2 linked regions of the Oryzias latipes genome follow. Each later gene encodes a partner of the first gene's protein in a complex. Links are inferred from orthologs where the notes say so. Each region holds a gene or a part of one and is shown on either strand. Other genes may lie near its edges.

Region 1 (11,704 bases):
GAATGTTCCTGAAATCTCTTCAGAATAAAAACACCAAGTTCAAATCTTTGTCTTTTGGTTGCCATGGTTTCCAGAACCATCTCAAGATCTTGATGTGCTGCTGAGTCATCTTGTAACACCTGAACCGTCATTGTTGGTAGATTCAGGTAAATGGCGTATACTTGTATAGCACTTTTCTACCAACAAGGACAAAGCGCTTTTACAGTCACACACGTGTTTTGGGCTTCCGCGGTCAGAAGGCTGCATTCACACCGGCCACGTCGACTCGCGTTCAAGCATAGACTTAGACTGAGTTAACGCGCGTCCAGAAGCCCCGTGTTCACTATCGCTACGCGAGGTCTTAAGTCCGGTCGTGAGCTCTACATACAGAACGGGCGTTCATTAATCACGCGCTGAAAGTTACTCTGGCGTCCTTAGGGATGATGGTGGACGTCTTCATCATCCAGGTGAGGACGGCTGCCTGACAGAGGAAGATGTTCGGAGTGTTCCTCATCTCCATGGAGACCAGGAAGCACAGCCCCCGGGGAGATTATGCAATCAAACATGGCAACGCAGCTGTTTATGAATCAAGAAATTCATCAAAATTTTCAAAACTGTGTCGCAAAAATCATGAATCAACCTTTTTGCAGTTGTATCTCATTTTTTGTAACTTTATCAGGTTTTTGTAACTTTTTGCTTAATAAAGTTAGTGCCCCCCCTGAACCTGGCAACGATCCTGCCGTCATACTGTCAGTATATTTCCATTCAGTGAGGAAAACCTTTTGGACGTGTCTGTAAAACACCCAAGCTCCCCTGTCAGGTGTTGTGTTAATGAGGTTTGTGGAGCTCCGCTCAGCGAGAACTGAAAACGCCGTAGTTTTCCACGTCTCTGCTGCAGGGCAGAGGTCGATTCTTAGAACGCCGTCGTTTCTGAAAAGGGACAGAGACAAAGACTCCGTTTAAACTTTTTGTTTCTACATAAATGTGTCGTCTGGGTTCATTCTTGTTTTTTCATTTCATGTAGATGTAAAGGGAATAAGCATCAAGTTTAGCTAAGCTGCTTTCAGGCAAGAGGAAAAAGGAATCAAACTGATTCGCTGACTCACAATCCTGTCTTTGTAATTGCAGATGCAAAACTAGGTCAGAAAAAGGTTACATTTTCTTTCTTGCCAAGTAAATAAATAACTATTTTGGGTAAGAAGGGAGCTGAGGAAAAGTTGTCTTATTCTACCCTGCAAAACAGTCCCTGTAGAAATAAGTAAAACATTCTGGAAAAAAATAAAAAGTCTCTGTAAATAAGCAAAAATAACTGTGAATGGGGAAAGAGAAATGGTCTACGAAGAAACCTTCTACTCACTATGTTTTCTTACACTAAGGTTATTTTGCAGCTGAAAATTTTCTTGATTAATTTAAATTTTTCTTGCTAAACATAATTAAACATTTTTTCTAGAAACGAGGGTCTTTTTAATTTCTCAAGATTTCGTTTTTGCAGTGTAGATTTTTCTTACCAGACCGTGTCGCACGGCCTCTACGCACATTCTGCGCGTGTTGCACTGATTGGATTGGATAAATATACGTGGAAAAAGTGAAAATAAGTTATGGTCTTTACATTTTCACAGATGTATCAGAAATGAACGTCGTTAAAACCACAGAAGAAGTATGAAATTACCACGCAAAGAACACGTAAATGATGAATGACGGACGCAAGACACACATGGATATATATCACGCAGGTAACAACAAAGAGCAAAATTTCAGACATGGAAAATGCGCCAAATGTACGTAGTGACCGTGTGACGCAGCCTTTAAGTTTAATGCAAAACAAACCCAACTCAGGATCCACGCTGACCTCAAACATTGTTTGATTCAAATGTTGTGTTATGAAACCAGAAGTGACAGCAGCACCTGGGAAACGGGTCAAACTGAGATGATGAAACCGGGTCTTCACTCTCTCCAGTGTTTGCACTTAAGACAAGGAGCTGTGGTCATTACAGATGACACAACATGAGAAACAAATGAAACATCTTTGTGTGAAAGTTGACACTACAGTCTGATGCAGAGTATAAAGGAAATGTATGGAAGCTAAACATTTTGAGGTTAAGGTTCACACAAAAACATTATTATTAATCATTTTTATGTGATTATTGGTTTAAAATAAAATATATGTATAGTCATTATTAAAAAGAATGACTAAAAAATTACATTATTATTAAAAAATGTTTTAAATAATAATACAATAATAATAATAATAATAATTAATAATAATAATAAAAAACGTTTTTGTTATGATTATTGAAAAAAACAAATAAAACTCACTAATTTCTACATTTTATTATCTTTTATGGAAGCAAAGCGGAAAAATGACAGAGAAATACTTTACAACAATCTCAGATATTTGGTTAGGAACATTAAATTAAAATAAATTCAAAGCATTAAAGTTTTTGATTTTGAGTTTCGCCTTAGCCAGTTTGCAGATGACACCGTATTTTTTCTAAAAGACAAAAACACGGTAACGAAAGCCCTGCACATTATTTCCATTTTCTCAAGAGCTTCTGGTCTTCGACTAAACTTACAAAAATCTGAATTACTCCCCCTGTTCTCTTGTGAAAACATGAAGTGAAATATTTAGGAATTAAATTAATTAGAGATGAAAAAGAAAGAGAAGAAAAAAACATGATGGAAAAAATAAACCAAATGCAAAAATCATTAAATCATTGGTTAATCAGAGATTTAACCATTTTTGGAAGAAATCTGTTGTGCAAATCAGAAGGAACTTCAAATTTAATATATCCATGCCAATCTCCCTACATTACCCCAAAGAATGTAAAAGAAAATTAATTCGAAAATAAAAATTAAAAAATTAATTTTTGAGAGGTATAAAGACGCAATCAGTGGTTGGAACCTTTAGAATAAAATGGTTAAAGACTTTATGGCTAATCCTGACTCAATATGGTTTCATGTTCCCAAAAACATCTTCAAAAAAGTAGGTGGATTAGATTTTTTGCTGAGATGTGACTTTGAAATTTCCAAACTTCCTATAAAGATTTCAGAATTTCACAAAGTACTTTTCCACTGGAAAATGATATTTAGTCACAATTTCACCCCCACTGCGCCCCCCTGTGGAACAACAGAGTAATGACCATAAACAGGAAGACAATGTTTCATCAGAATTGGTTTGACCACAAGATCATTTCTGTAAGTGATATTCTTGATTTAAATGGAGAAATTCTTCAGTTAAGAGACTTCAAAAGTAAATATGATATTGAATGCAAAACCAAGGAATATTAGAAAACCTGCAGAGCAATTCCAATTGCTTTAATACACGTAATAAAAAATACAAAATTGTCTTCCTATGTTCAAATTAAACTACCAAATTTAGTAATAGGAGAAATAAAACTAAGTGAAAAAAATGATAATAAATGATAATAAATACCTAAACAAATCCTTTAAAGGTAAATTGTACCATGACTTTAATAAAAAAGTGAAATATAAAATAACTGAGACACCTGTCACATCAGGTTCTAAACTATGGAAATTCATAAAATGGCCAATGGTCCCCAAAATTCAAGAAACGTGTTTCAAAATCATAGACAATTATTACCCATCGGCAGAGACGTTGAGGAGTGGATTTGGCTTTGAGGTTGATCCGTGTGATTTCTGTCACGAGCCCCAGAAACAACCAAACAGCTGTTTTTTTCATGTCCAGTGATCATAAAGATTCTGGCAAGATTTCCATAACTGGCTTAGTCAAGAAATTTAAAACATACAATTCACAGAAAAATATATTTTGTTTTATGACAGTAAGTTGCCAAAAGAGACAACAAAATTAGTGAACATCCTCCTGATTTTGGGAAAATATCATATTCATAAGAAAAGTGGAGAAAAGATCGTCTGAATTTCCTGTGTTTTAAAAATGAAGTCAGACTGTTTTTATCATCATTGAAATGTATTCCCAACTCAAATCCATTCATTGATGACATTTGTAAATCTGCTACAGAATGGTTACAAATCTAGGGTCCAGATTGTTGTTTGCCTTGTATTTTAATTTATGCTGAAAGTTTTTTATATTTTTTATATATGTGTACATTCTTGTTTTGTTATAGTTTTTTATCTTTGTTTTTGTGAAGAGCTGTGACTTGCATTTTTGCGTGGTTGTGTCTGTTAGAGTTTTGTAATGATTATGTTTAAATAATTTAAAAAAATAAACTAACAAAAACTGTTCTGTTGTTGACGGACTTTCGGCTAAAACCTTTGACTGATGCTATAACAAATGAACGCATGAAAATGACGTAATGGAGGCGGAGACTGTCTACGTCACAACAAAACTACCCAATCTAACTGAAGACAAAAGATTGTATATGTATTATGAAGACACACTCCATCCATGTTATCTTGTGACACACATAAGTTTACAGTTATTAATTTTGGGTCTCGTGTTTTTTTATTTTAGTTACTTTGTTGTTTTTTATTTGAACATCTGATATTTATAACATTTTTGCATCAGGACATGGGTTTATTTTGGGTTTTTATCCATAGAGTAATGCATCTTTACACATAGAGGATCTTTGGCAAAGAGCAGCCGGGGAAACCTAAGGTGGAGTGGGCGTGTCTCTGTATGTCTGAATTTCAAGGAAGTTGTCGTTCTCGCGGCCGGCGGTGGTTGTTGTTCACGGTCGCCGGCGCGGAGAAAAGGCCGGTGGGGAAGAACCACCATGTCCGACGCCTGGGACAGATCTACAAAGATCTCCTCTCTGAAAGAAACTGTTCTGAGGAAACTTTGCGAAGTTCTGGACAAATCAAGCGTCAGAGGATGGAGACGGCTCGGGGAGATCGTCAACAACGACAGACGCTTTGAAGTCAGGTACGTTCACGCATCGTCTTCCGTTCTCGGGTTAACAGACAAACTTTGAGGCTTTGGGTCCTGAAAAAGTTCAGGAAAGTCCTACCAAGTTCTGAAAAGCCTTTAACAAAGGAGAACAGCGCCATGTTTTGTGGTTCTACACGTTTGCGTTCTTTCTCCTGCAGCTCCGACCACATGGAGATGTGCTCCCTGAGGGTCCTGGAGGTGGGAGGGAGCCCCAGCCTCATGCTGCTGAGGCTGATGGGAGATCGAGGCTGCACCGTGGGTCATCTGAGCGACTACCTGCAGACTCTGGGGAACACGGAAGCCCTGCAGTGTCTGAAACCACAAGGTTGTCTGCTGTCACTCACGTGCTTAGCTGGAATTCAGACCTTTCTGATGTTGAATTATTCTGTCAAACATGAGTCATACACACACCTGCAGAAACACACACCTATACACACCTGCAAAAACACACCTGCACACACCTGGAGAAATACACACCTGCAAAACACGCACCTGCTAAAACATACACCTAAAGAAACACACACCTGTAAAAACACACACCTGCAGAAACACACACCTGCAGAAACACACTTGCAGAAACACACACCTATACACACCTGCAAAAACACACCTGCACACACACACCTGCAGAAACACACACTTGCAAAAACACACCTGCACAAACACACCTGCAAAAACACACACCTGCACAAACACACACCTGAAGAAACACACGCCTGCAAAAACACACCTGCAAAAACACACTTGCAAAAACACACACCTGCAGAAACACACACCTGCAAAAACACACGCATGCAAAAACACACCTGCACAAAGACACATGCAAAAACACACACCTGCAGAAACACACACCTGCACAAACACACCTGCAAAAACCCACCTGCAAAAACACACACCTGCAGAAACACACCTGCACAAATATAACTGCACAAACACACCTGCAAAAACACACCTGCAAAAACACACACCTGCAGAAACACACACCTGCACAAACACACACCTGCACAAACACCCCTGCACAAACACACCTGCAAAAACACACACCTGCAAAAACACACACCTGCACAAACACACCTGCACAAACACACACCTGCAAAAACACACACCTGCAGAAACACAGCTGCAGAAACACACTTGCAGAAACACACACCAATACACACAACTGCAGAAACCCACACCTGCAGATGCACACGCCTGCAGAAAGTTTTGCGGTTCTTCTGACCCGCCACGTTCTCCGCCCCCTCAGCCCTGCAGATCCTCCTGCAGCCTCAGTCCGTGGCTCTGCTGGTTGGACACAACCTTCGCCTCAGCTGCCTCGCCGTGGGGAAATCTGACGTGCAGTACCAGTGGTTCAAGTCCCGAGAGGAGGTTTGCTACCACACACACGGTTCCGGACTTCTCCCGGTTTTCCTGCGTCCGTGTGTGGATGACAGGCTGCAGACATTTCTTGCGTCTCCACCTCAGGTTCCTGGCAGCTGCTCTCCTGACCTGCTGATCAGCTCCGTCCAGCTGAAGGACGCCGGCTTCTACATCTGCAGGGTGAACGGCGAGGGCGCCTGTGAATTCAGCCAGTGGGCTCAGGTGGACGTCCTGAACGTCGGGGTGTCTTACGGTCAGACTTAGGGTTTCATTTCTGAGGAATTCACCTTAAAGCCCCCCGCCCCCCTCACTTTGTGATTCACTGTGGTTGTGTCCGAATTCCCACCCTAAATACTAAAAACACCATGTAGTGCCCTGGATTTTAAAAGCTATTGGGACACCACGCTCACTACGTGTTATTTTTTATAAATGGCAGATATGACATCATCGATTTCAAAAGGTTTAAACCTAACTGATATGAGTGTTTTGTGACGATTATTTATGGTTGTGTCGGAATTCCTCCCTACTTCACTCTATAGGGCGTTGTTCATTTTCCAAATCTACAATTCCAAAATCCAGAGCCCTAGAAATTTCCCAGAAGTCTCTGCAAAAAACCAGTGTGCATCGATGCTCACCAGATCTGTGAAAATAGACCACAATGCATTGCGTCGAAACAATTTTTTCCCCAAAAAGTATCATTAAATGTATTTTTTTTAATAAATCATCAACATTTTTATCAGACTCATAAATAATCATCGCAAAACACTGATATCAATTTGATTTGAAAGTCCTAAAATCGATGATGTCCTTTCCGTCCTTAAAGAACAAATTAGCGAGCGTGGTGTCAGAATTGCTTTTAAAATTCAGGGCACTAGATAGTTTTTTAGTAGTTAGGGGTTTGCATTTCTTACCTTTTGGTAAAACAGTTTTTTTTCTATGAGAGGAAAATTGGCTCAGAACCGAACTTCCCCTCTGCTCCGCCTCCTCCAGGGCAGAGCTACCACTCCCTGGACGGACGGTTGAAGCTGGTGGTCCAGCCGCAGTCGCAGACGCTGCACGCCGGGGAGAGCCTGCAGCTGGAGTGTGGCGCCGTGGGGCGGCCCATCCCTCGATACCAGTGGCACCGGAACGGAGTCCCGGTCCCGAACGCCACCAAGCGAAAGCTCTCGGTGACCTTTTCCCGTCTCCTCTTCCGAGTCGATCAGATTCCTCGGCTGTAGTTTAACCAGACGGCGTCGTTCCAGATCCCTCACGTGGCGCCGGATCACGCCGGCAGGTACCGCTGCGAGATCAGCAGCAGCAGAGAGAGGATGTGGACCAACGAGGTGGACGTCTCCATCGGTACGTAGGGCGCCGTTTCCTGATGCCTTCAAGGACAGCAGGTTTTCCGAACGTCTGCACAGTTCTCATTTGCTTCTGCTCTTGATTGAAAGCGCCGAGGATTTCGGTGAAGGTTTCAGAGCCAGAGGAGGTCTCTGAAGGTAGAGTGGAGAGCTGCCTGCATGCTGATGTCACTACTGCTGAGGATTATGGGAAATTAACCCAAGCCAGCCTTTCTGTGGGTTGTTTGTAGATTCTGAAGGGACTAATATTGTGGGCTTTGATGAACACTCAGGATTTCTGTGTTTTTTGTCTTTTCTAAGAGACGACAGAACCCATGAAAATATAAAATATGAATCTGTAAAGTGTGGTCGTCAAAGAAAGAAACGTTAAACGGGAGACTTGATCGTGTCTTGGGCTGCACGTTCTCATTTTAGCGTTCGTTCAATTCTGGTTTCAAAGTCGTGCAGCTTAAAGACTCTGATGCTTTGATCACTAACATTTGTCTTTTGAACGTTAAGGTCTGCAGGGATTTACTTTACGGCGTCGCCTGAGATGTTTGGCGTCCCTTCGACGTCTGCTGATGGGTTTTTGCGAGGCTCCTTTTTATCTTTTCATGGGTTTTGCATGAAATAAATTCAAAAAACCAAACTTTATGTTTCTGTTTTTGCTGTAATCTGTAGTTGCATGAACATTCTGATCCGTTGGCCTCTGATTCTCCCCCGTTTAGTGTTGAATGCTTGGAACGTCTGGAGTCTCATCGGACTCGCTGCTTTGGCCGGTTGGATTGTGACCCTGGTTCTGTGTTTTGTTTTAGTGTCCGGTGAATATTTCCTGAACAGTCTTCCAGAGAAACTTTACGGTGAGTCTCTTTGAGCTTCTTCCTGGTCACATTTTCTCATGACAGGAAGTGAGCCTGCAGAATCCAGACCCCAGAGGCTACAGGTTGAGGACCGCGATGACATCATTGGTCGGACATGGGTCGTTTCCACAGAGCGGTTCAGATCGGTCCAGTATTTTGAGCGTTTCCATTATAAAGAGGACCGGTTAGGGCGGAGCTACTGTTAAAACCTGTTTGAGTAGCTCGCGTCGTAAAAGTGCTAGACGAATAAAGTTTGATTTGATTTGATTTGATTGGCTGAGGGTCATTTCGATAACAGAAAGCACCATGGAAAGGTTCACCTGAATAGCCTGGCCTGTTTTAAACTGGACCGGACCGCCTGATTGTCCTCAGTGTGATCCTTCCTCTCATCATATCTTATTTGATTGTATAATCATTTCATTGTTTTTCCGTATATGTAAATGCCTGACGAGGTTTCCATCATCAGAAAAGAATGGTCACCTCGCCAGGCATTATCCTGCCTATACCACGGTCACGTGTTCAGTTCAATGCAGTTTTATTTATTATCACAACACAGTCGTGTCAACGGGCTTTAGTGGGATTTAAACGCAGCGATTAGTAAAAGGTTTAAATTGATTATTAGAGGATTATTGTTTTTTGCATTTGACTTTGATGTGTACGTAAGGGAGAAATACACAAACATCTGTTTTTCATACCTCTATGTTGTCAATAACTTTAATTGAAGGGATTCCATTTTTAGACAAAGTTTCTACTTTTTCTTCAACTACAAAAAATTCCATTCAGACAGGGGTTTAAAAAGATGGGCGGAGCTCCTTTGGACTCGCCAACCACAGCGTGCTTCAGTTTCCCGCCCGTTTTTTGGGAATATAAAATAGATTTTCATCACCCTAACGACCGTCTGTCTGATATTGAATCCCAGCAACCGACAAAGTGGCGCTGCTGATCGGCAACCTGTCGTACCAGAACCACCCGCAGCTCAAAGCCCCCATGGTGGACGTGTACGAGCTCACCAACCTCCTCCGGCAGCTGAACTTTAAGGTCGTGTCGCTGCTGGACCTCACGGAGTCGGAGATGAGAAACGCCGTCGACGAGTTCCTGCTGCTGCTTCACAAAGGCGTCTACGGTACTTTCAAAGACATTTCATCTTCATTCTTTTATTTCTTCCTCACCGTTATCACTTATTTTAACTGATGTGGCTGGAAAATGTTTAAGAGAATGAAAAACTGTAAATGAGATTGTGGAAACAAAAAGTTTGTTGGACCTTGGTGTCATGGCGCTCCATCCCTGTTCAGGTCTGCTGTACTACGCCGGTCACGGTTACGAGAACTACGGGAACAGTTTCATGGTGCCGGTGGATGCCCCAAACCCCTACCACTCGGCCAACTGTTTATGTGTGCAGAGCGTCCTCAAACTGATGCAGGAGAAGGAAACGGGCCTGAATGTCTTCCTGCTGGACATGTGCAGGAAGAGGTGGGTCCTTTCTGGACTTCAACTTAAGTTTGTATGAGACGCTCAAACCAACCGTTACCGCCAAAGAAAAGACAAAGTTCAAAGTCTCAGCTGTCCTTACGGGTGGATACGGGCTGTCTGTGGGGGGCAAACCCGTACGGGGCATGCAGGTGACCCGCGACATATGTCAAGGTGGTCAACCGCTCAGTGAACCCGTAGAAAAAGATGTTCATGCACATTTTTTATTCATTTATGCAACCAGGTTTATGCGTTCAAGAACCTGTGTTCACGCTATTAGCTTACGGTGATCACACTGGACTGTCGCATAGTACTGGGTACTAGCACATGTACCTGGTACTGGGTACTAGCACATGTACTTAGTGCCCAGTACAAGTTACCTATACCTAGAACTGGGTAGTAGCACATGTACAAGGTACATGTACCTGGTACTGGGTACTAGCACATCTACCTACTACCCAGTTCTAGGTACATGTACCTTGTACTGGGTACTTTCTGGTGGATCTTGCTCCAGGCGTTTTCTTTCACAGCCTTACTCCAGAGCTTTTTTAAAAGGTTTTGCACTTTTGTGAATCCATACATCACTAGAGTCCCTGATTGGTCAAAGTTTGACCTGGTTTAACTTTCAATGCATGTTTCGTCCGGAGAGACCTCAAACGATCGTAGTAACTTGAGTAGCAACACATGAACGCTTAAAAACTGTAACATTCGCACATACGTGCATTTACATAGACTTTTCGCGTTGCGGAGGCCAGTGTTAACAAATCTTTAGAGTAAAAAAGGCTTTAAGTACAATTTGATGCACGTAGAGCCAAAAAACTGACCTAAAACTGTGCATAGCGACACGTGAACGCAAGAGTTTCGAACTCGGAAGTCCGAAACGTGCATTTACACGCATATACTTGGATTTTTCATTGGAAGCGGTCACTTGAACACGTGTTTCTGGGGCCGGTGTGAACTTGGCTTTGGAAATGAGGAAACCAGGCAATCATAGTGTCGTTTGCGTGGACAACCCACTGCCGTCCTACGGACACTTAAGTATCGCATCCACACCCTGTGAGTGCAGCATTTGTGCGCGATCACTAAGGAGCCAGAACTCACGCCTCACTAATCACTAGAGTGAAGCGTAAAAGCGTAAGGACGGCCTACGGCCGCATCACCCGAACGCCATATGCGTGGAACGTCCTTACCAATACTTCACGATACACTTACTACAAACACGGCAATGGTACGTTCCATTTTCATGACGGCCCTTGAGGTGGTCGTACGAGCCTTAAAGGAATTGAAAGACTCACCTGCGCTCCCCTTAAGAGGTAGCCGCTCCTCTCTACGACCCTCCACGGGTCAACATACGGGTCAGTCCCCCTGTGAGAGCATGTGACGAAGGCAGTCTGGTCCTCTGAAGAGTGCGGCGTAAATGCTGACTGAACCAAACCAAACCAGTTCCCCGATTCTTCACGTCTGTTTAAGGCTGTTAACCCAAAGTTTTAGATATGAAACATTCCTGGCTAAATCCGTCTGTAGACTTTTGTCCCGTGTCATCGCTTCTCCAGGAATTTCCACGATGACAGCACGCCAAACATCGTCCTGAGAGTGACGGCCAACATCGTGTTTGGATACGCCACGTAAGCGCCGTGCCTTGGTTGAAACCGTAAGTGTGTGTGGTTTCTGCTGCTCAAACGTTGGATTCGCTGTTTGGCTGCTCAGCTGTCAGGATGCGGAGGCCTTCGAGCTGAGCTCCACCAGCTTCATCAATGGAGTGTTTGTCAAGTTTCTGAAGAAGCGTCTGCTGGACGATGAGAAGATCACCGTGGTGCTGGACCGAGTGGCCGAGGGTGAGAGATCCCAGT
Region 2 (11,566 bases), on another chromosome or scaffold:
ATACATTCTGTTTGCTGCGTTTGCTATTAATGTTTTTCTGCTAATTTTAGTTTCAAAAAATATTTAAAAAAAAAATCAGAGCTGTGGAGTTAAAGTTAAGAAAACACAAGTAAATCTTTTCATTCTGAATTAAATCATGCTCTTAAATGGGCTGTTTTTGGTGTCATTAACATCATTTCCACAGATAAAAAATATAAATCTTGAGTCCTTTCTAACCAAATGGGATTTTATTCCACACAAGGATTTGTTTCTATTGTTTTAAACTACTTTTAACAACACAAACTACTGTCGACACAATTTATGATCATAAAGGAGTAAAAGTGGTTTACCTGCGAATAGCTGTTGTGAAGCAGCGATCTACAGCCCTGTAATCCAGGAGTCCAGAGCAGATTATGAGGACCAGGTGGCAGCGTGAGTCAGGCCAGCAGCCCTCGCCACAATGACTGTCATTCCTCTGTGTCATTTGAAGTTTTTCCAGTTTTTCCAAAACAAAAAAAAAGGAAGCCAGCTTCGATATCTGCTTCTTTAAAATAAGAACTCCATGCAGGACGGAGGCCTCTTCCTGGGTCTGGATTATTACGGGGTAAGAAGCAACAAAATATTGGAAAAAGTCTGGAAATTTAAATTCACTTGAGCTAGAAGGAGCTGCATTTCCAGAAGAAAATGCAGGCTTGAATGCTATATTGCTGAATGAAAATGAAACTTACAGGGTAATAATTGGCAAAAAATAAAAAAACAAATGATCCAAGTTGACCATAAATAAAGTGAAAACAGCACAATAACAGAAAACAGAAAAGATTTTTTGTGAAAAATGCCAGAGCCGGGTATGGAACCAGCGAGCTTCTGCACCAAGGATTCCCCATGGATTTCAATGGAGGCAGAAACATTCAAGGATTTGAAGGACCGGAAAGTCATAGCTGGAAAAAGCTGAAAATGTTGATAGTTGAATGGTTAAAATAGCTGAAAATTTGAAGGAGTTAAGCGGCAAAAATTAAATAAAGAAAGAGAAACAGGAAAACGATGGGTTGGAGGATTTATAGCATTCAACTAGTAAAATGAACTTAGTCTTTTTGGATGTTTATTTCTTCGGCTGCTCTAGCACAAGCACACTAATAAAACACAAACACACACAGCTGAATTTGCATAAAAAAAACTTTATTGTGCTCGGGTCACTGTGTACACTTTAGAGTACAGTTTAGAGCTTCGTACATGTTTGTGTTCAGTTCTTGTAGTGAAGAAAAAGGTGAAGGAGATTCTTGATGCAACAGAAAAAGCAGGTTAAAAAGCCCCTCCCTCGTTTGTCGTGGTGACCGTCTCTCCGCGCAGAAGCAGAAGTGAGGCCGCCATGTTTTCTCCTCCTCCGTGAAGAAGAACTCCTTAAACCTTCAGAGGTTAGCGGTCAGAGATTCCTGACCTCCAGATCCAGTAGGACTTGAATACATCGATGTATTTTTTGTCTCCCCAACACTCTACCCTCTCTGGCTTCAGATGTTAGGAGTCAAATCTCAATGAGGAGTTTGTTCCCAAAAAAAAAAGAAAAGAACTTTTTCTCCACTTCTATTGGATCAGTTCAGTTTTTTTGACTCCAGGCTTGGAGTCACAAATCACTACAAATCCGTTTAGAGGCTGTTGCTATGAAAAGAAGGACGACGACGACACCTGAAACAGAGACTGTGTGGAGCGGCAGAAGTGCTGCAGCACGGCTTTACAGGCATTTTTACAGCATCTTCAATTCTGGTCAACTTCTAAAGAGGAATTTCAGTGATTTCTGGTTAGTTTTATATTCTGTCTTTTGTCATTTCTATCGAAAGGCCCGCTCAGATGAAAATTGTGTTTTTAACATCTTCTTGTTGCATTTCTTTTTTGAGATAAAAGGACATCTATGAAGAAAATTAAGCTTAAAAACGCATTTCTGAGTATTTCTTTATTCAAATCATGAATCGGGAGTAGACAACAAACCCCATCTGAGAAAAGATTGTATCTGTGATGTAGACAATACGCTGGGGCGGGGCCACAAGCTCCCTGCTCCGCCCCTTTCTGATACATCCACTGTCAGACAAACGGATCCATGAAGGTCTTTGTTTTCCTCGTCTGAGCTGGAATCTGGATCTAAACTGTACGGCTGGATAGCTACGATACTGCTCACCATTTTCATTGCACCGGTAATATTAGGTTAGGGGTGGGAGGGGCTGTAAGCTAGCAGGACAGCTAGCTGAGCGTTCTGAGCCATGGGTGAAAGGGGGGGGGGGGGGGGCAGGGATGCTCTGGACCAAATAAGTCCTAGAACACGACACAAATGTTTTCATTTTGGCTAAAAACGGCATAATTAGAAAACCACATAATTAGAAAACCACGCTTTGCAACTGGATCAAAAAAGGATCGGGGTACGGACGTAAACTAACGGGTGGTCTCCGTTCAGATCCGGTGTTTCCTTAAAGTCAGTTGTCCTGAAACAGTTTTCAAACGGATCCAGAAAACTTTTAAGACTAAAGAAACGATGAAGATGCTGGTCAAAAACAAATTCACAAGTCGACAGCGCGACCACAAACATCTAAACCAAAATGCCCCTTAATTCGTTTAAAACCTTCACATATATTTAGAACTGTGGGTACCTGTGCGTCAGCGTCCTGCCCTTGTCCTGCAGGACGCTGACTGCAAACGCACCCAAATGTGCAGAATTCGGGTCAAATACAGAGAAGCGATGCGAGGTTCCATCAGCAGGTCCTTTCAGGTTAAAAGATGCTCCGGTGAGACGTTGGGGTGAGGGAACGGGACCGAAGCGGCTGGAAGTTCGGGTCTCCCCCACTGCTGCTGCACCCCTGTGCTGCTGAGTCTATGTTAGACGGGGACTCCACCTCCACTTCGTCCGGAAGAGGCGGAGCTCCGGGGTCTCCTGGCTTAGGAAGGTTGGACGAGGACGTGGAGGAAGCTGTGCCGATGCTAGCGCCAGAGGTGGAGTCTCCAGACTTCTGCAACGACGGCAGATTCAGAGAGCTTCCCATGTCGGAGGTGGAGGGGCTGTGCTCACTATCCGGGTGGTACATGAGAGTGGAGCTGTTTGAAAATGTGGTGGGGAGGTCCCCCGGGTTGCTGGGTGTGCTGAAGGCGCCGTCAGATGATGAACCAAAGGCTCCAGCAGCTGAAGGGGAGGGGGGATGATGGGAAAAATAGAGAAACAATCAGGAAAACCCAACAGAGGAAAAATAGAAGGTCGTCCTAGGACCTGCTTTTACCTTTCAGAGACTCCAGCTTTTCATTTTTGGCTTTTTGCACCTCGTCCGTGATCTTGGCGATGATGAAGTTTTGCGAGCGCAGTTCTCGGATGGAGTCCACCAAGGCGTCCAGGCCGCGCGGGTTCTCAGCCAGGATGTCCAGCAGCGTGGCCGTTCTCTTCGTCTGCGTGGTCCTGCAGCTGATCTCCTCGGCATCGTCCCGGGTCAAGATGCGGCGAGAGCGCAGGTAATCCAGGTGGCGATCCGCTCTGATCTTGTCACAGAGGTAGTGTCGCAGTCTGGTCAGAACCTGGAAAATCCAGACAATTTGGTGTATTTGTAATGACCCAGCCTATAACCAATGGCAAACTGATAAGTTACTCCAATTGCAATAAATCTAATTTATTTAAAATAATTCAAGAGATAAATTTAACTTTTTTTTTAAATATACACTCCAAAACTGAACACAAAAAGACTCCCTTCTAGAAAATGTAAATAGAAGAAATCCTACACAACACAAAGAACTAACAAGAAAGAGGCAAACACTGAGACAAAAATATTGAAACATTTGTTACAGAACCAAAAAGAACAGACAAGATAATATCTGCAACAATGGGGTGATAGTAAAAACATGAAGAAAAACACTGGAACATGTTATGAGAGGAAAAAAGAGACAAGTCATTACGTGCAACAAAAAGAAATGAGACACACGAGAACACCTTTAGCCTTAGTCACCGCCGACCTTATGGGTGGATATGGGAAATATCAAAGTCGTGGACCGCTCAGTCAACCAAAGAGCCAAAATGTTCATGCGCTTTCCTTTCTACCGGCATGCGGCGGGCGGCAGGTCCTCGTGAACACTTAAACAACACATAAGGGTGAAGTAGGCCAGACGCAGGCGTGTTGTACAGATTTTTCCAAGTATTCGACCCCACCCCACCCACAAGTCTTGTGCAAGGAGCCCCTAAAACTACGTTCACACCGCCCTCGGCAACGGGCGTTCAAACAACCACTTCCAGTGAAAAGTCTACGTAAACGCGTGCCTGAAACGCATATGGACATTTCGGGCTCTCGCGTTCAAGTTTTTGCGACTGTTTTCGGACTCTACGTACAAAATGCGTGGCCATTGAAAGTTGAACCAGGTCAAACTTTGTCCAATCAGGGACTCGGATTTGGTCATGACGTGGGGGTGGCGTCCCTTTCAATTCACGGAAATGTCAAGCGTTTGTCATTCCGGTTTCTGGCCCGCTGGAATTCTACGACACCAAGTCTTTCGTATATCGGAATACAGTTGTGAAATAAAAAGCCTGGAACACGACTTGTGAGATTTGCACCCCTTCTACATTTCACACCGAGCTTCTTCCAACTGTAGGTGATGGACATGCAACAGTAAAACGTGAAAAAAGAAAAAGAAGAAGCCCCTCCCTGCAAGAGCAGTGTGAACGCCATGGCCAAAGTGCGTGTTCAAGAACAATGTTTAGAGCGACATCCTACAGGCGTCCTAGTTCACTTACTTATCACGTGCACGCCCCGTGTGTTCAGTAAGGGGGTCAGTCCTTACACTTACTAACAACTATAGCGTGGTGGTGGCCCCGTAAGTCAGTATCACCCGTACATCATACGTTTGCACAACTTCCTGTAGTCTTACCAATACTGATTCACTTACCACACACACGGCAATGGGTCGATCCATTCTCATGGCGTCCCTTCAGGTGACGTAAGAGCTTTAACAGAACTGCAATACACACCTGCGCTCTTCAGATACAGCCGCTCCTCTCTACGAACCTCCAACGGACCGGACAACCCCAAAACGCACAATACCATAAGCGTCAACCCCTCGTCCATGTTTAAGCGAAAAAGGCTTTTTATGAAGCAAACTAAGAGACAAGTTAGCGACCGCTACCGCAAGAGGACACACGATTATCATGAAGAGAACATCTGGACAGAAGAGCAGGAAGGACAAAGGCACAGGTACATCCTTTAAGACCATAGAAAGACAAGATGGCTCGGGGTCATCCAGGTCAACTGTACAAGGCGGATCAAAAGGAGGAGGGGGGGGGGTCAACAAAGTGACCTGTTCAAGGCCAGAACAGGTAACTTTCACACCTACAACTAAGCAACAGGTGATGTTTCTCTACTTTATTCTGGAGGCCAGTAATTCCACTTGAACGTATACTGGTTCAAAAGTATACTATTTTTTACTGCATTGTACTTCATGGTACAGACTGTGCACGAGGGTGTGGCGAGCCACTTCCTCTTTCAGGCAGGTCACGGATATCTGATCAGTGAACCCGATCACCTCACTAGAAAAAATCATCGACCCCGAAATCAGCGAAAAGTCAGTGGCACTTCCGGTACTCACGTCTTTCTTAATTTCTGCCATTTCATCCTCGGTGAGGTGAGGAGCATCCATCCCCCACACCGGCGAAGGTCCAGGTGTTCCAACCGACCCGAGATGTGCGTCCAAAGTGGCCCTTAAACCTCCCGAACACCACCATTAAAGCACGGCCGCCGAATCAGCGCGAGCGCCCGAGCGCGTGCGGGTTCATGGTGCCTCAAAAACCGACGTTCATTCAACTTTTCTTTTCTGCCTCAATCACGGAGGGGAAAGGCAAGTCCGGACTTCCTGGTTGAGTCGAGCTTAGACGACGTCAAGCGGCCGGAGGCAGAAGTTCACCGAGCACAGACGGAACTTTCACTCTGTGATCTGCTCTTCCCGCCACTGACCAGAACGTTCGTCATGCGCCTGGTATGACGTTCACAGACCGGGGAAAGCCCCCGAAGAACAGATTTCCCCTCCGGTGCTGCTGAATTTTGTTTCCATCTGTAGTCACATAACTGCTCACGCGCTGTTCCCAGTCTGTCCACGCAGGGGCGCTGTGGGTCCGCGCCACATCAGACAGCTTCAATTATCTTAAATATCAATTAATTAGACAATTATCACAGCTATTTTTATTGAAGTTATTTAAACATATGAAATTCGCAAAGATTAATCATGTAATTTTATTAATTTAACAAAGCAAACATTTCATACATAAGTAACACAAAGTGCAACACATCAATCAAATAATAAAAAAATGTTCTACTTAAAAACTAAAAGCAAAACATTTTTATAATAAATAAAATTTAAAACAAACTGTAAAACACACGAAACTCTCTCCTTACAGACACAAAGTGAAAGTGTGTAGTTCTATGCGAGTATATTTGTATCTGAAACTGAAAATGTACTCGTCCATCATATGTGGCGGGTGTACATTGTGTGGCAATGCATTTGGTGTATAGGGCACAGGGTTTATTACGCTTCTACTTTTTCTCACTCCCTTTTAGATATTTCATGTACTTTTTGTTTTTTATATGGTCCTATTTTTCCTTTTATAGTATTTGTCCAAAACAAAGTATCATCATAATCATTATAATGGATTTCTAAAAACAGTTTGCGATGGTGAACAGTCCAGGTTGAACCAAGACACCCCCTCCCCCCAACAGTGGCTGGGATAGGCCCCAGCAACTCTGACAATGTTTAGAAATCGATGTAAAATTGTCCAAAATCGGTCAAAAAGCTGTGTGACACTAACTACATTTAAAAATAGAAAAAAATTGAAATGTGCCTGCATGGTGGTGTAGTGGTTTGTCTTCTCACCTCAGAGAAAACATCCTGGATTGAAATGTTGTTTACCTTTTTGTGTTAATATTCTAACGAAATCCAAATACTAAATATGAAATGTTTACTTTGGAAAAACAATTCTTTTTTTACAATGATCAGAAAAGCTGAAATGACTGAAGGTTTTTACTGCTGCTGTGCGGTTGGTGAGTGCACCCAGAAGCATTTAGTCAAAAAAGATAAAATGCTGCATAACAAAAATACAGAAACATTTTCTACTTTAACTCACAAGATGCAAATCAGAATCTGCAGCATCCTCAGACTGTCCTGCAAGAGCCAACATCAAATCAATCTAATAAAACTTAAACGATCAAGGAAAAGATATTGAATAAAACAAGGAAATGTATTGTTTAAGATAATAAAATGGACAACACCGTACATTTCTGGTGCAAAAATGTTGAATTTATTAAAAGAACTAAGAAAAATTATTTTTTTCTTTTAAAGCTTCTAACTATATTACAATAAACTCCACATTGTCAATACATTCAAGCTTCCTTAGTGGTCAACAGAACCTGAGAGGAAGGTAAAAATGGGGTTCTGACACACATTAAAGCATAATATCATTTCACGCTCTGAAGAATGCAGCAAAAATACAAAACAAGAAAAATCACTGCAGTGCTGCTCTGCGTTTATTTCAAAAAACACAAGACACAGAAAAACTCCTCAACTTTACCAGCATGAATACATTTGAACAACAGAGGTTCTTTACAAACATTTGATTGCAGCCTGAAGGACTGAATATCAACTAAACGTTTAACTTTCCATCAATCCAGCTGAGAATGAGAAGACGCCCAAGCATCTGGCACACGCTGAACCTCCTGTATGATCACGACGACAGAGTTTACGACTGGAATGTTCAAAACGCGCCGCTGGTCAAAAGTCAGACAATCCTCTAAAACACAAAGACTCAAAAAGCTGATGCGTGGTTATTCATGGCTTTTATTCTTGTGAGGCCTCTGAGCTGGAGCCAGGAGAGAAAAACAATTCAGATTGAACTTTTTTTTTTTAAATCTTAAAGTACTTTAACTAGAAAATGATGAGTAGTTTTTTCAAATGTGAAATGTTTAAGGTTTATCAGTGTTTTCTGCAGGTAAACTGTAAATGTTTTACATTAAGCATTGTCTGATAGAATAGGTGCTGTAGTCCTGCATCACATATTGATGTAAATCCATCCTGTTTGATGAACATTTGCGTTCATCAGTCCCTTCAGGAATCCATAATTCCAGTTTTATTCCTGTTTGAACCTTTGCAGGATCATCTCTACGTGCTTTTTTGGTTCCGTTGAACAAATGTCATTTCTGTCGACTTCACATTTACGTTTAAATCAGAGTTAGTACTTCCCAGTAAAAGAGTTTACACCTTATCGAGGAAATGATTGAAAATGTGTGTAAAGTTTGACAAAACAAGTTTACCTTTTACCCATAAAAAAAAACAACATCCTAAACATAAAAAAAAACAAAAAAAAACGATCCGTTCAGTAATAATAAGACATGTCACAGAATTCTAAATTATTTTTACTAATTTTTAGAAAAAGAAAATAATAATAAATTAGAAATCTGTTCTTGGTAAAGGTTTACATTTGTGCAAATGGCTCAAGAAAAAAAACAACAATAGCACCAAGTTTGCCAAAACTGCAAACATTTATCGGCAATAAAACGTTTTAATAAAACAGAAATCAAATTTTCTATGACAGCAGTTTATGTCCAAAGATGACATCCCCACAGGTTAAACCTGGCTTCTGATTTCATATCATATAGGGCATAAAATGTGTCTGGGATTCAAAAATGCAAACCTTTATCAGTCTAAAAAGTGCAGGGATCCAAAAGTGGTTGCCTGCAGCCCTTCATCAAACATGGTCTTGTAGGAGTTCTTCAGGAAGTCCACGTAGTTCTGGATGCTGCGTTTGTGGCTCTCTGATTGGTCCAGGCTGAGCTGCAGGTCCTTCAGACGCACCTGAAACTGTCTCTCTGACTGCAGAAGGACAGCAAAACCACAGAAACACAGCCCTGTCATTCAGACACAGAGTCGTACAATCATTTAGTGATGTAGTAGGTGATGCTCACAGCTAGCTTGCTCTGATGAAGAAGCCTCAGCTCGTTGTCCCTTCTGCTCTTCTCCGCTTCCAGTTCCAGGATTTTAGTCTGAAGGGCCTCCTCTCGAGAAGCAGCCAGAGTTTTTACCGCGTTCACCTGTTGTTGAACATGTTAGACACTCGTGTGAGAACGTCACTTTTAAAGTTTTACTTTCAGGTTTAGATGGTTCTGCTGGATTAACAGCTGGAACAACATGGCGGATGCCTCTCTTCTCAGGCGTACCTGCTGCCTCACGTCTGACAGAGCCGCCTCCAGCTGCCGGTTCAAAGTCTGACACTCTGACGAGCGTTGGTCCAGCTGGCCTTTGCTGTAACTCAGAGCTTCTTCCTGATACGCCAGCCTTCGTACCAGCTCCAGGTTCTCTTGCTGGAGTCTGTCCATCTGTCTGCAGAGACAACCTCACGGTGAACTCCGGGTTTTATCCAGACTAACGTTCCGCTGACTTTGCTCCTCACTTCTGCAAAGCCTGTCCTTTCTCTTGCAGGTGGGAATTGGTGAGAAGAACGGACTCTGTCATCTCTGCAGACGACCTCAGCTGCTTCGCTTGACTCTCCATCTGTGAACATGAAAGCAAAAGACTCAACTCTACCATGATATCTGACTGTCTCCTGAGGTTTCCATCACAGATCCAGATTTATCTGAAGCCTTTTTTTTTTAAATCACCGTGCAGTGAGGTGACAGAATGTGAAACATCTTCATGCTTCTGTGGCATAAAGGTTTTTAGGGAGCGCTGTGGCTCTTTAGGTGACTATTTATGAGAATTCTTCTCTGAGAGCTCCAAAAAAAAATCAACTAATTAGCAAATGGACCATCAGAAACCGTCTGATATTTGACAAGAAAATACAGTTTCCTGTTGAGCAAAACTTATTTTTTTCCTTTTGTTTGATTTTTAATAAAAATTATTATTTTTATTATTTGTTATTTTTACAGCCATTTTTAAAGCGCCGTTCACATTTAGATCAAATGTTGACAGTTCTAGTGAGCTGTTGCATCTAAAACAGCAAAGTGTACACGGGGCTTCTTATCTTCTATTCTTTTATTAAAAGACATATTATTTATAATACCATAATAATAATACAAAATATATATTTTTTCCCCTCAATCTGGTGCATTTGCAGACATTGTATTTAATGTGAAATGCCCCTATCAAATAAACATTTAAAAATTAAAACCATGAGGAGCAATGTATGGCCCACTGGGGCAACTTGCCCCTGTTGCCCCCCCTTTTGACCTGCCCTCACTGCCTGAGTGGCTGCTATATGCCCCTCCCACACTTTTCTCACTTTGCCGCCCTGGTTTGGAGCTACATGCAACAAATTCTTGAAGAAAAAACATCATTTAAAAAAAAAGATGGCTTTTCTATTAGTTTTATCTCCATAGCAACCATTGTCATTTTTAGTTACCTGGGGGGACAAACAAGTCTGTGTAGTATTTAGAAGTACATACATAAAGTTTCCTCTTTAGTTGCAATAACGTGTTTTTTTCTTCTTTCCATTTGACGTTTTCAAGAAACTCAAGAACATGCAAACTCACACAACACAACCACAAACCGGAACATCCATGAAAAAAAAAAATCCGAATTGTCTACATTTACCAACAACTGTGAGGAACACAGCAAACACGTTTGTACTGCCACCTAGTGTTCGGATGTAAGAAAGCGTCTTCTGCACATCCTCTGACGACAGACCTTCACGTGAAGTTTCTGAACGAACTGGGACTTGTCAGAGCAGTTCTTCTCCAGGTGCAGCAGGCTCTCCTGACACTCCAGGAGACTCTGCTCGGACGAAGCCAGCAGTTCAGGGAAAGCCTTCAGCTCCTCCACACGGCCCTGCAGCTCCTGCCTCACCTGGACCCCCAGGGGGAGGAGTCAGAGGGGGGTAGATGGCGTTACCTGAAGATTTAAAGCACCTCCCAAAGCGATGCCTGCAGCTGCGCATCAGCTTCATGCCAGCTGATGTACACGGCTCCAAATGATAGACTCAGGTTGTCAGGGTGAATGCAGAATAATGGGATCAACAGTAATCACACCGTCACATGAAATCTGATTACAATAAGAACTGCCACAGTTCTGTGACGTCATGTTTTTTTTTTTTATTATTAGGACTGTTACCTTTTCAACTTCTGCCTCTGTTCCATGCTTTGTTTTGTGGGTCTCCCTTAAAAGATTTGCATATCGCAATCGGAGATTTTCAAGTTCAGCTTGAAGTTCTGCAGCCTAAAGAAAATAAAGACAAAGTTAAACATTTGTTAAAGACCGACTCCAATCATTTTTTGATCAATTTTTAAAGCCCTCCCATTATTAATCATTTTGATTTCGGCCAAAATCAAAAACCCTGTGTGAATTTCTAGGACATAGTTTCTGCAGAGCGGCAGGAGTACATCAGGAGTTCACCTCGGAGTTGTTAATACCTGTGCAACAAAAATGGCGAGCTTTATCTCATCTATCCAGTCGTCCAGTTTAGATCCAGATTCCAGCTCAGACCAGGAAAACAAAGACGTTCATGGATCTGTTTGTCTCAGTGTTTTCCAACCAGTGTGCCGTGAGAAATTGCCCTCATTCACTGATCTAAAAACATTTTCCATCTCCAGGATTTCAGCTC

What was found.
Region 2: the proteins of mucosa-associated lymphoid tissue lymphoma translocation protein 1-like (region 1) and bcl10 are in contact, whole or in part, in a cryo-EM structure (PDB 6GK2), measured with the Homo sapiens proteins. The link is inferred for Oryzias latipes from reciprocal best matches to the Homo sapiens genes MALT1 and BCL10. Residues at the interface, in NP_006776.1 of Homo sapiens: Asp46, Gln47, Ala48, Pro49, Trp54, Arg55, Leu74, Glu75, Ser78, Leu79, Val81, Leu82, Glu83, Pro84, Glu85, Gly86, Pro88; in NP_003912.1 of Homo sapiens: Leu13, Lys17, Val83, Arg87, Asn93, Gln97, Thr100, Leu104, Arg107, Asn108, Leu111.

Annotation. Positions count from the first base shown.
Region 1 is NC_019867.2:1,788,742-1,800,445, reverse strand, and holds the start of mucosa-associated lymphoid tissue lymphoma translocation protein 1-like, read left to right. Parts: upstream 1-4,581; 5' UTR 4,582-4,691; coding exon 4,692-4,840; intron 4,841-5,004; coding exon 5,005-5,171; intron 5,172-6,092; coding exon 6,093-6,214; intron 6,215-6,310; coding exon 6,311-6,458; intron 6,459-7,195; coding exon 7,196-7,374; intron 7,375-7,449; coding exon 7,450-7,546; intron 7,547-7,638; coding exon 7,639-7,686; intron 7,687-8,342; coding exon 8,343-8,387; intron 8,388-9,306; coding exon 9,307-9,510; intron 9,511-9,679; coding exon 9,680-9,857; intron 9,858-11,407; coding exon 11,408-11,479; intron 11,480-11,561; coding exon 11,562-11,689; intron 11,690-11,704. UniProt on the Homo sapiens protein: Protease that enhances BCL10-induced activation: acts via formation of CBM complexes that channel adaptive and innate immune signaling downstream of CARD domain-containing proteins (CARD9, CARD11 and CARD14) to activate NF-kappa-B and MAP kinase p38 pathways which stimulate expression of genes encoding pro-inflammatory cytokines and chemokines.
Region 2 is NC_019875.2:28,862,274-28,873,839, forward strand, and holds bcl10 (B-cell lymphoma/leukemia 10), read right to left. Parts: upstream 6,050-11,566; 5' UTR 5,626-6,049; coding exon 5,575-5,625; intron 3,523-5,574; coding exon 3,234-3,522; intron 3,140-3,233; coding exon 2,733-3,139; 3' UTR 1,135-2,732; downstream 1-1,134. Other genes in the region: outer dense fiber protein 2, read right to left, coding at 8,671-8,844, 8,937-9,062, 9,189-9,351, 9,422-9,522, 10,654-10,812, 11,077-11,181. UniProt on the Homo sapiens protein: Plays a key role in both adaptive and innate immune signaling by bridging CARD domain-containing proteins to immune activation.